2 linked regions of the Drosophila melanogaster genome follow. The protein of the gene in region 2 interacts with the protein of the main gene of each other region in a pairwise test. Each region holds a gene or a part of one and is shown on either strand. Other genes may lie near its edges.

The links.
Region 1: the proteins of wuc (region 2) and comr interact in a two-hybrid assay, tested with the Drosophila melanogaster proteins (one study listed by BioGRID).

Annotation. Positions count from the first base shown.
Region 1 is NT_033778.4:21,862,847-21,869,838, reverse strand, and holds comr (cookie monster), read left to right. Parts: upstream 1-2,979; 5' UTR 2,980-3,045; coding exon 3,046-4,848; 3' UTR 4,849-4,969; downstream 4,970-6,992.
Region 2 is NT_033778.4:12,696,923-12,702,823, forward strand, and holds wuc (Wake-up-call), read left to right. Parts: upstream 1-3,158; 5' UTR 3,159-3,290; exon of another isoform or gene 3,291-3,374; 5' UTR 3,375-3,381; coding exon 3,382-3,640; intron 3,641-3,696; coding exon 3,697-3,848; 3' UTR 3,849-3,929; downstream 3,930-5,901.

The DNA.
Region 1 (6,992 bases), 9.2 Mb from region 2:
TGGGGTTTTGAGTATTTCACAGAAATTCGAAACCGCGCAAAGTCAATGAACCAAAACAAACGAAAACAAAAGGGGCCACCACCGCGATGGAAATGAAAACAAATACAATAGGAAAAAGGCAACAAAAACATACAAAATGCACAACAATTTGACATCTGTTTCAACAATTTCGTTTAGCGAAAAAGGAGTAAAAAAGTAAGGACGAAAAGGATGTCACGTAGATTGACTTGTACAGCAGACAAAAGGAGCCCGAAACTTCAATTCAAACTTGGAACCCACTCGAAAACTCCTTCATCTCGTCAAAAAAGCAAAACGAAATTCCCCCGCGTTCGTGTGACAAATGTCAAGGGTTAATGAGATCCCCTTTTTTACAGTACTCTTCAGAAATGGAGTTGTGTTAATTATCATCAACGAACAGGAGTTTAAACGCTTCATTAGACAAAACAGTGCAACCAGAAGACAAAGAACAAAAAGGGAATGGAATAAGTATCTACAGATACGAGGGGTGAAAGCGATACCAAAAGGGGAAATGAGTTTAAACATATTTAGTGAAAAATTTGTGGACATCGAAAATATCAAATTACCAAAACCGGGAATTGCCTTCCAGTCTTAACGGGAATGGATTTTTTAGAGCAAAAGCAAAAGCGGGAGAAATGGGCATTCAATTAGTCACAGTCTACATGGGTGCGAGATTGTAGATAAGGTCGTCAGATACATTGTGAAAATACATTTGCATTCGAACTGGTTGTGTTCTAGGAAATTATATACAATTTAAATTTATTAATATAATAAATATATACAATTTTTAAGAGTATAAGATTTTATGAGCATTGCCTGCACATTTCAAAATCCCATATTCCAAGAAATCCCTTGCTTAATGAACTAAATTGTAAACTCTTTCAATATGTTTAATTGTGGCATTTCTCAAGAAAACGATACGATCATTAATATGCATTGTGTTTTGAAAAATGATTTTTCTGCATGCTATATGGCAAAGTGATATTTTAGCCGCTAATTGTCAAAGTCCACCAAACTTTGGCCCTTAATATGCAGTTCGTAAAATTATGAAATATATTCATTTATTTTAATTAGCTTAACCTCAAGGCGAAGAAAGCGAAGAGCAGAGAGAAATAAGTTCAATGAGACCCCAAGGTTTGCCTTCTGGCAAGTGAAATGATTGATGGATTGGAGCTCCATTGTCTTCACATGAGTCACTAAACCACGAGAATCTTATAGAGCGTATCACTTGCTGCAGTGACTCACTCTAGAATAAGGAAATATAATCGAAACTGGAATCGGGATCGTAAAAATGCAATTCAGATAGCGAAAGGGCGGAAAACAGCTGGAAAAATTCGGGGCTAGAAGGTCGTGCTCAGTCGTCTTCATCTTTAATTGCTTGGAAAACAATAGTCTAAAAGGAAAACCGATGGAGTAGCGCCCCATAAACCATAAAAATGCATAATCTACGACCACTTGACACGCATTAAACAAAAACAAAACAACACTACGGCGGCGGCATTCCTACTTTTATGTTTTATAACGTTTTCAACATTTTATAAAATATTTTTTAGACGAACGAGATGGGAGATCTCCATATATAGTTGAACAATAGTTGTCCCCAGATAAGGAGTAAATAAAGACCTCTAGCTCTCTACCCGTAAAATTAAACTGAAACCGAAACTTATGTAGTGCTTTTTATGAATTCATATAGGGCTTCCGTCACACGACTAAATCAGATCGTAAAAAATGTACAACAAAAGAAACTTTTTCGTTCCGCCAAAAGAAAGAGCAACAAAAAATAGGAAGCAATGAAAAAATTGAAAGGGGTTTCATTGTCAAAATCACGTGCGTGCTGGTATACTATTTTTTTCCAACTGGACTTGTAAATTTATTCGTCATATACAGCCGTTGTTCTTGTTATGCAGCTTTTCATGGGCTGCCCTATGATTTTCGCTCGGAAATTACAACTTTGTCATCAAATTCGGACTGTAAACATTACAACTAGTGTAATAAAAGAACAATAAAATTGGCGGAAATATTCGCCAAAGAAATTGAGCAATGAAATGCATAATTATATTCACTAGACGAACTATTCACATCAGTAATTTACCAATAACTAAAGAAGCTATAAAGAGCAGGGTATTATAATATTCAATAGATTCAAGCAGCTGACGACATTTTTTTAATTTACTCCTGGTGACACGTGAGATTATTGCATAAAATTCTTGTCAGTCCGATTTTTTTCGCCTGTGCCAAAAACTCAGCAGTTTGTTCATCCAAATATCGTGCATCAGTCAGAATAATTGGGGGGGTGTTCGCCATGGATGATTCGTGATTAAAGGATGTGTATTAAATATTCATATGAATGTCAATTTAAAGCTATCTCTTTCGGCACAGTGTCACCCTCTCTTTCTCATTGACTGGTTATAGACCAGTTGAGTGCCAGTGTTGGCGGCTTTTTGTTGTCTCGGCTTTGGTCTGCATTATTGTTGATATAGCCCATGAATCCCCAATTGAAAGGCTTCCCTTACTTTCCTTTTTGAACTTTGCCGCCCTTGGAAACAAATGGGAGGGTTAAAACTGGGGGTTTTGGGGTTATAAATAACAATAGATTTATTGCAAACAAAACATGAAGTGCATTCAAATAAAATGAAAGGAGCTTTGTTTGGTTTTCGCCTGTCTACTCTTTCACTAAAGCTAAATTGTGTAACTTTAATTTATCAATAAGAATTTTTGGCAGCAGAATAATAATAGTGGAATGCAAGGCTTATTTAACATGTAAAAAAAAGAAGTTTTGAACATTAAGTGTGACTGCTTAAAGTACACCGATGAGAGTGTGTTTTCTTAAAAATCATCGATAGAAACTGTAAAGGATAACAGAAAAACTTAGCAACACTTTTTCCGAATGGAAAACAACAGCAGGGCAACCCTTAAAGTGGGCCAACATTTCGTTTGTCAGTCCTCATATTTTTCCGGCTTGCTCGTTTGCCCGAATATTTGTTTGAGAACTAAAAAGTCATCGAAGTTTGTAAATACAAAAGGATAATGTCGGGGAACCAAGACACTTTGGGCCAGTCACAGCAGGTCAATGAAAGTGGTGATGAATATGAAGAAGACGCAGCAACAAGTTGGACAAATGAGTTGGAACAGCAGGAGTCCAGGACGCCAGCGGATAGCCCCGAGTTTCTGGATTTTGTGGACTCCGAGGATCCGCTGGAAGATTTCGAAAGAAATCCTTTGCAGAAGGAGCCCCTCGATCTGGCAGTTAAACCTGTTTCCGACATCAATAAGAAGGCAGCGGAGAATCACAGGCGGATTTACCGACAATTGGGTATCCATATCCCGGAAACGCCAAAAAGCCATCCTCTACTCCATTATGCATTCGTCGTGAAACTGTTCCTGGCCACCGATAATAGCTCCATTCACTACCTCAAGTGGTCGGCAAATGGCCGCGAACTGGAGGTCGATTACCAGGGTATGCAGGAGCATTTGTCCAGCGGGTGTTCCATGTTTCATTGTCGAAATACATTGCAATTTACGGGCACTCTATTGGCCCACGGATTCGAACGCGTTTCATTGAAGGATGTGCGTAAATCCTCAGCCACCAACATCACGCTGATCTATCGGAATCCAAATTTCGTTAAGGGTCAGTTACTCAAATTGCATAAACTGGCTCAGGAATGTGAGAAAATACCTGAAATTTCAAGCCCGGGAACGGCGGAGCCGCGACGACCACCTCTGCACCTCCCGAACTATGCCCATATTTCCAGGATGGTACGGCGAGGAGATCTCTGCTCCACTCCCTACACATCCCGTTCTGCTCTGCAAGTGGCTCGATGTCATTTCCAAACTCTGCTAGGATATCAAGCCGATCTGGGTGTCCTTAAGGATCGCAACAATCACGATATGTTCAACAAGAACATTATGACGCAACTGAATGTGAAGAGGGGGCGTTCGTCTATCAATAACGCCCCCGTAGACTTAGCGCCCAGTAAAGTTTCCTTTGAGAAATTCGTAAAGCCGCACGAATCTGTGATTAATATCGGAATTGGCCAAGCTCCCGATTATGCCGGTTATTATGGCCAGGTCGAGCTATTCAAAGTCAACGAGTTCTTCTCCGAATATCTGCCGCGCTATGGTAGCAAAATCACCGGCTACAAGGAAATAGTTATGGATGCCACCAATAAGTCCATTGGTTTCCAGCAGAATCTGCCAATCGGCATGAATTACTCGGATGATGAAGACGATGCCCTGCCACCGATTTCATCGGACCTCGACTTGGACTTCATGCCATCCACCTCAGCGGCGGCGAAGATGAAATCTACAGGTCGCAAGGTAGTGGAGGACTCGGACTTGGAGCAGGCTATGCAGGAATTGTGCGGCGGTTCTAATCTTAACGAAGAGGAGGAACTTCCACAGACCAGCACCAGGTTTAAAGCAAAGCCCAAACCAAGAGCCAAAACCAAAGCCAAACCCACGAAACGCCAAGCTAAACCCGTACATTCCAGTTCCAGCGAATGCGAAGATTTCAAGCCAGACGAAGTGTATGAAGGTTTTAAGTCTAGAAACCCAAAGAACGTTAAGTTAAAGCCTAGTGACGAAAATATCTCCTATACTCTTGAAGAAGGAACTGATTTCGAGGAGCAAGTCATAGAAGAAACGACCGAAACCAAGGTGCAGGATTCGCAATACGATGACCTGGATGATGACGACGACGACGAGGAAGAGGATTACTTCGACGAGGATGACGAGGATTATGTTTACAAAAATTTGCAGTACAGGAACCCTCCTGAACCGCCAAAAAGCCGACGCTATGATCTACGCAACTCCAAGCGAAATCCTCGTTGAGTCTGCCACTCATTGGAATTGTATGGTATATCTAAGGCAACTAGGAGTTATTATTTGTTAAATCAAATACTTGACTGTGTGGATTTGTGCACCAAACAATTAAACGTTATTTAGTAACTTTAAAGAGGATTTTATTTAAAACTTACGGTACGCATCTTCGGACCATTCACCTCTGCCATATCTTTTGTTTATTCAACTTTAGGCCCATTCCTTTAACCATCTTCCATTGGGCATATCTAAACCTTTCATTATAGCTTTTGTTGGTCTTCTTCGAAGGCAATAAGTTTGGACATATGGGCAATTAAATCGCTTATCGCTCTTTGATCTCTCACGCCCTCAGTGCCCCATTACCGAGGCCAATCAAAAGTGTAATATCATCTGGAAATATCTTACCAATTCGAACCGAGGGCCAGCACCCACACGAACTCACAAAAACCGAAAACGTATAACCAGAAAATAAAGGAAAAAACCAGACAGGGGCACAATCAGTCGGATGTTTACAAGTTTTATGAGCCACCAAATAACAAGATGAACAACAGGCAACCGAAAACGAAACCAAAACCAAAACCAGAACCAAAGCGAAACTTAAACGATACTTGATTTCGAAGGGATTTCGGATTTGTGGTGTACCTCGCACCGCATTTGCAAGAGGCGCAAAAAATAAGCGCTTTTTTTTTATATATATAACTCAGCGTGAGCCGAGACACGATTTTTATCGTCTTTAATTTGCTTTTTATTTGATATCATATTTCAAGACAGCCGGACGGATCAAATCGGTTTGGTCCCACTCGCAGAACTCTGGAGCGTTGAAAACAAAAGCCGGTATCCTCTTATTTGCCGGCTCCGCTCCTCCGAAAAATCCCAAAACAGATTTTTCGGTTGGCAAAAGAGGAGAAACCTTGAGTCAAGACGTCATAATGTCATAAAAATGTCACATACTTTTAATAACTTTATGACAGCTACAAAATCATAAACAAAATGCTCTGACAGCAGCACACGAACTGCGAGAAGGCGAGGGATTCTGCGGTTGAGTTCTTTTGGGAGTCCTCATAATGAGATGTGTCATGTTTTGCCTTCTGAGAAATGTTTCTGCTTCTCCATTTCGGTGGCTTTTGCCATGATTGCCCATCGAGGAGCCGAGTGGACCAGGCTGCCATACTCCCATCCCTTCCCCCAAGAGTCACAATTATAAACATGACAGGCTGATTATTAAATTTGATGTTTAAATGATGATCTAAACAGCAGGGATATTCGATAGTAGGGGGTGTGTGTAGCGTGTGCCTAGGAAAATACATCCATAAAGTTGGTTCGTGGCAAATAAATTATCACTGAACTATGCATGTAGCTTGAACTTGTAAACTTAACATTGAAAATATTGTATTTTGGGCTACAGGGTAGGGATTTGAATATATAGATGCTTTAGAATCGTTTTTAATCCAAATATTTCGTTGATTCTTTTCTTCTCACGCACCAATTTAATGCAATCCACACACACCTTTTCGGTCCAAAGGCCACAATCTCAGCTTTAGTTTCAACACATAAATTCGGTTTGCGACAAAGCGCGCCAGTATTAAATTATGGAAACAGGAATAAAGTCGGGACTTTTGCTGCATTATAATGAAGTCAGATAGGTGGGGGTGGGGCAAAGAAGTTTGGGGGGGGTAAGTCGAAATGCCCTCCGAATGCAGAGTTATTAAATGCCAAGTTATTTGTCGTTTAGCTGGAAATCCACGCAGGTCGGCAGTACTTTAACTTCTGAGGCTCACAAACTTTTTTTTTTGAGACTGCTTTATGGGCTTGAGTAGGAAATCTTTACGAGTTTCTGCTGGGGAGACAAATTTATTGGCAAGGCATTAATGTTTTCTTTACTGTTCGTATTTCTCTCTTCCCTCTCGTATTTTTCCCGTTTTTTGTCTGACTTTAATACGGAGTCGTAAAGATTTTTAATGATTCAAAGCGGCGGTAAAACTATTTACATATGTATCTCTATGCTTTATGGGGGCAAATACGAATGTATCTCCTCTATAAGGTTTGGCAATTTGTCTTGTGGTGGGAAAATGCCAAAGGAAACGAGGTGTTGACTGTGGGCCATATAGTTACGGATCTAATAAAGTGGAATCATAAAAACAATGGCATTTAAGAGT
Region 2 (5,901 bases):
TTAGGCTTTTAATATTTATGCCTTTTATGTTTTGCATTTGCATTTGGTGGCGACAGGTCGCCAAGGACACGAGTGACAGGCGACCGAGGCAGCAGGACTAAGGACTCGGGCCAGGACTCACGTTCGTGTATGCGGGCAATTAATAAGCCAGAAATGCGACCGCTAATTCAAGGAGTCAGACGCGCTGTCCTGCGAAAGGGTGCAAGATAAGTATCTATTATAAATATTCATACTATATGTCGGCGGCGAGCACAGACGACATTAAACCGTGTCCGACAAGTCCGGCGATCCCATACCCAGTCCACATCCGGAATGGAATGTCTACTGGCTGGCTACATTGAAGGAGCCGAAGCCTTTCCCCAATTCCACTTTCCATGTCATCGGATCCCCAGGCATAGCTCTCCATTCATGGGCCTAAGCTATTTCTCATCTGTATCAAACTTGACAGCAAAAAGAGGCCTTTCATTCGCTTGGGAGGCCACCCAGTTCCTGGGGCTGAGAAAAAAGTAATCAGATTGCTGGCGTATAATAGCGTAACTCTGCCCATATCCTATTGTTACTACTTTTATTCAGAAACTCTTTTTTGAACTGAAAAGCAGATTGGAGATCTCTCTCTCTATGAAAGTGACACACTAAGAAGGCTTGAGGGCATTTCTGAAGGACATATATCCTGGTATTTATTATATCTTATGTATATATTTTCCATAAGCCATTCCATTCTTTATGTTATATAGCTTGATTTTACATCGAATTCTAATTATTGGAATTGGTAATCGGTTTAAACATTTATTTTGGTTTTATATGTCTATTACTGTACCTAAAACCAAGAAGGACGGCAAATTAATCACGTTTGTTATGTATTTATGCCATTTCCAAGTCCGTACTTTTACTAGATTCCCTTCTGCAAGTATAATGTGTTTTTTTTTTAACTTAAACAACTCGCTTTTCTACTAAATGATATGTTATATACATATGTATATCAAAGTGTAGCTGCAATCAATAGCATAAAAATTTCTCGTTGGTTCAATCAAACTTTACTTTTCCTTTGATGACCAATTATAGTGTAGTTTAGGCCGATAGTTCGGTAATTCCAGAGCACCGCTGTGCTAAATACATTTGAGTATCAAAAAATATGTTTTTAGCCGAAAATGGGCTGCTACTTTCACCCGTCTCGTTTGGTTTATCGATGCACAACAATCGCGGCAATCGCCGTTGAAGCAATGAAATTAGCGAACCGCAAACAAGACTTCAAATTACCCGCATTCATCCCGAATCAGATATTCGCACCAGGCTGTCAGATTTCTGCTGAGACGGGGAGTTGGGAAGGCGGGAGGTCGGTGCTAAAAAGTATATATGTATACAAGGTATGGATCGTATGGATCGTATCGATTGCCATCGACAGCCGTTCACAATGGATCAGCCAGTAAATCAGGCGAGAAAGGAAGGAAAGCCAGCGACTCGAGGCGAGGGGCACTTCAATGAGTAAGAAAGAAAGAGCAATTGCATTGGGGCAGACATCCGCATCTCCAACTCCAATTCCAACTGCATGTCCACACAAATGTATCTGTATCTCCGCATGGCACACTTCCAACTGTGGCGCATAATTAAATCGCAGCATAAATAAACATAAACACACATAAAGCTGTGATAAATTGGCCAGCGACGCAGCGGAAATGTGCGTTAATCCAATTAAATGGGCCATTTGCATGGCTGAATGCTGCGAGAATGTTGTTCATTAAAATTGCCAATATTTGGCATCAAATCCGAACCAAAGCGGTGCAGCTGCACTTTGGCAAAGGACCCATACCGATTTCAGGGGTCAATTCCGGATTTGGGACAATGTCCTGCCGCCAACTAATCGTCTAGTCTAGTCTGGGTTACTGTCTCTGTTTCTCTTTCTGGCCAACTTGTTTGTTTTGGGCCACTATTTTACTACTTTGCTTCTTTGTTTTGTTTGGGTTCTTTGGCCCCAGGCGGCTATCTTGTCACAGTGGTAACTGCGTCTTTTAAAGAGCACTGAGCAAAATAACTATAGACACTATAATAAAGACTGCTCTATTGTAAAATTGTTACCAATAATTGAGAAAACACTCAAGAACTCAATTTCGACCTTAAGAACATGCGAAAATGATGCAAAAGAAATAACTTTTTTTTTTGTAAATATATATAGATATAGAAGTCAGCACAACTTTGGAATGTTTTTTTTGTTTTGCATCATGTTAACATCCATTAGGCAGCGATTTGAACAAATCAAAGTCAGCAGCAGACATACTTCCAACCATTCCCCCCCCTGCGAGTGGCACGTGCCGCATGGATGATAACACGGGCTAACACAGGCCGAATCCTTGCAAATAAACTGCAGCGTAATGGGGCCCATTGTGCGGTGCAAACACTGTTTACACAGACGCCAGCCACCCTGGGGAAAACGCTTCTGGAGAGTCCTGGGGGTGGGGCGAACAGCGACCCCTTCAAAAGTTTAACTTGTTCAATTTGCATGAGTCGCGGACCCGGCTATAAACGATACTTTGCCCAAAAACTTTGGCCATAAAGCAGCTACAAAAGCAGACGGAATACACGGCTGGACAGGGGGAATAATGAGCACGCGTCCCTTTGTCACCATCAGGACATACATATACTCCATGTCCATGTCCTTCGGCTGCTAAGCCGCCACCGAAGCAAGCGGACACGTGCGACAAGGACAATGGAGGTAGTGAGTACAAAGAGGGGGCTTTAGGGGTTCAAGGACATTAAGATTTAAATATTATTGTTATGAAATGTATTAGTAAGTTCTTGAATCTTCTATCTTCCTCATATCATCATATTATTATTATTATTAATATCAATATATCAATTATTCACAATTATAATACTAAAAATCCCCTTTTAAATAATTTTGATCATACACCCCTGTAAAGAAAGTTGCTTGGGCTGAAGAGGTGATTCCTTTCTGGGGGATGGAAAACGCCTGCGATCGATTGTTTACAAGAAGCCGAGTCCTTTGAAAAACGCTTTCTAATGGCCGGTATTCAGTTCTTGCAGGGCTTCCCACATTGACCTTGGCTGCAGCCCTGGCAACTCCTGGAAATTTGCACATTACGTATTCCTTTTTTGAAGGTGGCAACCCTCCTGCGGTGACAATTAATTTTGTACAGCTCATTAGGCGTTGGAAAAACTTTCGCCAAGGGTGGATTTATATTCGGGATTTTAAACCTGTCATTCCAGCAAAAAGTGGTGTACGGAAGCTAATTTCTTGGGTCCCTTCTGTTTTGATATATTCTATTAGCAAGGTGGTAAGCTCAATTAGGCGATTTCACGCTGGCACAGCATTTCTTCAACAAACAACAAGGAAGCCTATTGAAAAGTTAATAATTTAGCGAAAATATGAAAAAAGTTACGAAGTCCATTAAGCGGGAAGGAAGTCCCAGCGATGAGGAGTACACTTTGGAGGAGGACCCAATCGAATTCGAGTTGGAAAAGATGGAAAGGGGCAGTTCTAATGGGGAAAGCGAAGAGGAAAGTCAGCGGGATCAAAAGCAAGCGGACTCCATCATCGACGATATGGTCGAGCAAAACGACCAGGAACAGGAGGCAGCCGGTGAACAGGATGTGGAAAGGGAGAACGACCTGCGCAAGATGTATGGTAAGTGGTTTCCCGAGGTGATAAATTCATATATATACAAACAAAACTTTCTCCAGAACTAAGTCTACTCCCGCCGGCGGCCATAGCTGCCCAGATCCAGCAAATGGAGAAGGAGATCTACGAGCTGAGTCAATGGGAAGCCAGGGAGCTCATCCGGAGCAAACACCTGCGCATCTTTGGCAACTGCCGTCGTCGCGCCAACAAGTGAAGAAGTGACAAATCTGCTTACAGAACACTGTATACTGTACTGTTGATGACTTTGATGGTATCAAATAAAGGGTCGTCAACGAAAGTGACTCCAACTCCATTCCGTTTCCCCGTCCAGTGGCAAAGCCACACATAGCTCCACATGGCCCAAGTGGCCAGATGGGCGAGTGTCGTGGGCAAAGTCCCATGAAAGCCGCTTACAGGGCTTAATTTCTGAAAATGGACATGCCATCGACATTCGCCCACGACATCGGCTCCATCTGAAGTCAAGTACAGTGGGACTTCTGTAGCTTGAACTTAAAAACCAAACATATTGCTAGGAGATAGAATAATATATCTACCAAATACTACACATTTTAATATTTTTATAAGTTTCAAATACACATCTGCATATCTGGATGTATTTGTAGATGTATATCAATTCAGTGTCTTCCTTTTGTCGAAGCTCGACTGTTGTTACTAGGAAATGCACATCGCATATGGAGGTGGAAGCAGTGCGTCTGGGATTGGGCATTAATCGTGCATTAGAGTCTAGAGTTCAGATGGCCGGAGCTGCGGCATCCGTTCCGACGGGCTTCCTGTGCGCTTAGTGGCCTCCATCGCATTCGCCAATCCTCCTGCCGTTGAGGTGGAGCTCCCGGTTCGGCGGGGGCTTTTGTGGAGTAACTCGATTCAAAGCAAATAGTAGCCAGTTTATCACATGGATTTGTGCTAATTTTTCCATTTCCTCGCTCGCTCGCCTGGGGAGTTGTGAACCCGATCCGCATTGAAGTTGGCTCTCGAGTTTCCAGGGTTCTTAAGTTGATTAAATTTCACGCGATTTGATTCGATTTTCAATTATACGAGTACCGAGTACCGAAACACCGAGTGCCTCAAATCCATTATGCTAAGCAAATACATCTAACGTGTTTTCAGTTTCAACTGCGTGTCAGTTATCAATGCCCAAAAAAAAAAAGAAAAATGGAAAGGGAAAGCCATGGAAATCAGGGGGAGTTGGGCAAAGCTTTTTGATGCCCGTCCAAGCGACTTCCTGGCATATCCTTTCAAATGTCTGCCTGTCCGTCGGTTGATGATGGTGATGCAGTCGGAGCACTCCTGCCCCCCAAAAATATCAGTTGTTGTTTTTGTCGCTTTCGGTGGTTGCGGGTGCAAATGTTTATCAGCTTCAAAGGGATTCCCCGTCCGTCAGTTTGGGCGATTTGGGGTTTGTCACAACACGGCATTACCCAGACTCCGGCGAAAGGAGACATTTGAATGCAACATGTGTCCAGGATTCGGGCTTTGTTAATTTCCAACCCCGAGAACTTAAGGGTGGAACACCAACTCGACTAATAGAATATGCTCATTATGGGATTCCGAGCTGAGTGGGTTTCAGTGTTTCGCGCATAACTCAAACTAAATTATTATAAATGAATTCATAATCTTGTGCACATTATGATGACTTCAGGGGCCAAAAGGGGGATGATTCAAGTGCTCGTTTCTCCCCCAAAAAATGTCAAATATTCAAATATAAGCGAAAGGATTCGCCATTTATTGGATTGCTCAGCACTGATTGAATTTACTGCGCAGTTGGCGAGGAGGTGGAGAATTCGTTACTCTTCTCTAAAAGCCATAAATTGTTTCGGGATCTAAAAGCCATTCATTCAAATGATTTCAATATGCAAAAAAAAGGCTAGTTCCGTTTGTATCCATATTTTCGAATTTAATCCCTTTAGCATTGAGTAAAAATTACACATTTTTATAGTTCTTTTTTTTTTTGTGCTCAACGAAAAAGGCATTTATAATTAAATTTCAAAGGAAATTCTGATGAATTGATATTGTATTTTATATGTGCTTACATTCAGACACATTTCTATAGTTGAACGATTTCATTGATTTGCGTGTCTGTTATTGAATTAAATTTTCCGAACAGAATATACTATTTAAGTGTAGAGTAAATGTATATAAATTTAAATAAAATTGGGCAGTTAACAAACTGACATTACGAATTATTTTAATCAAATAAAGTTGGCATAAAATCAATTGAATAGCAATTATCCCCACACTAATGAGTT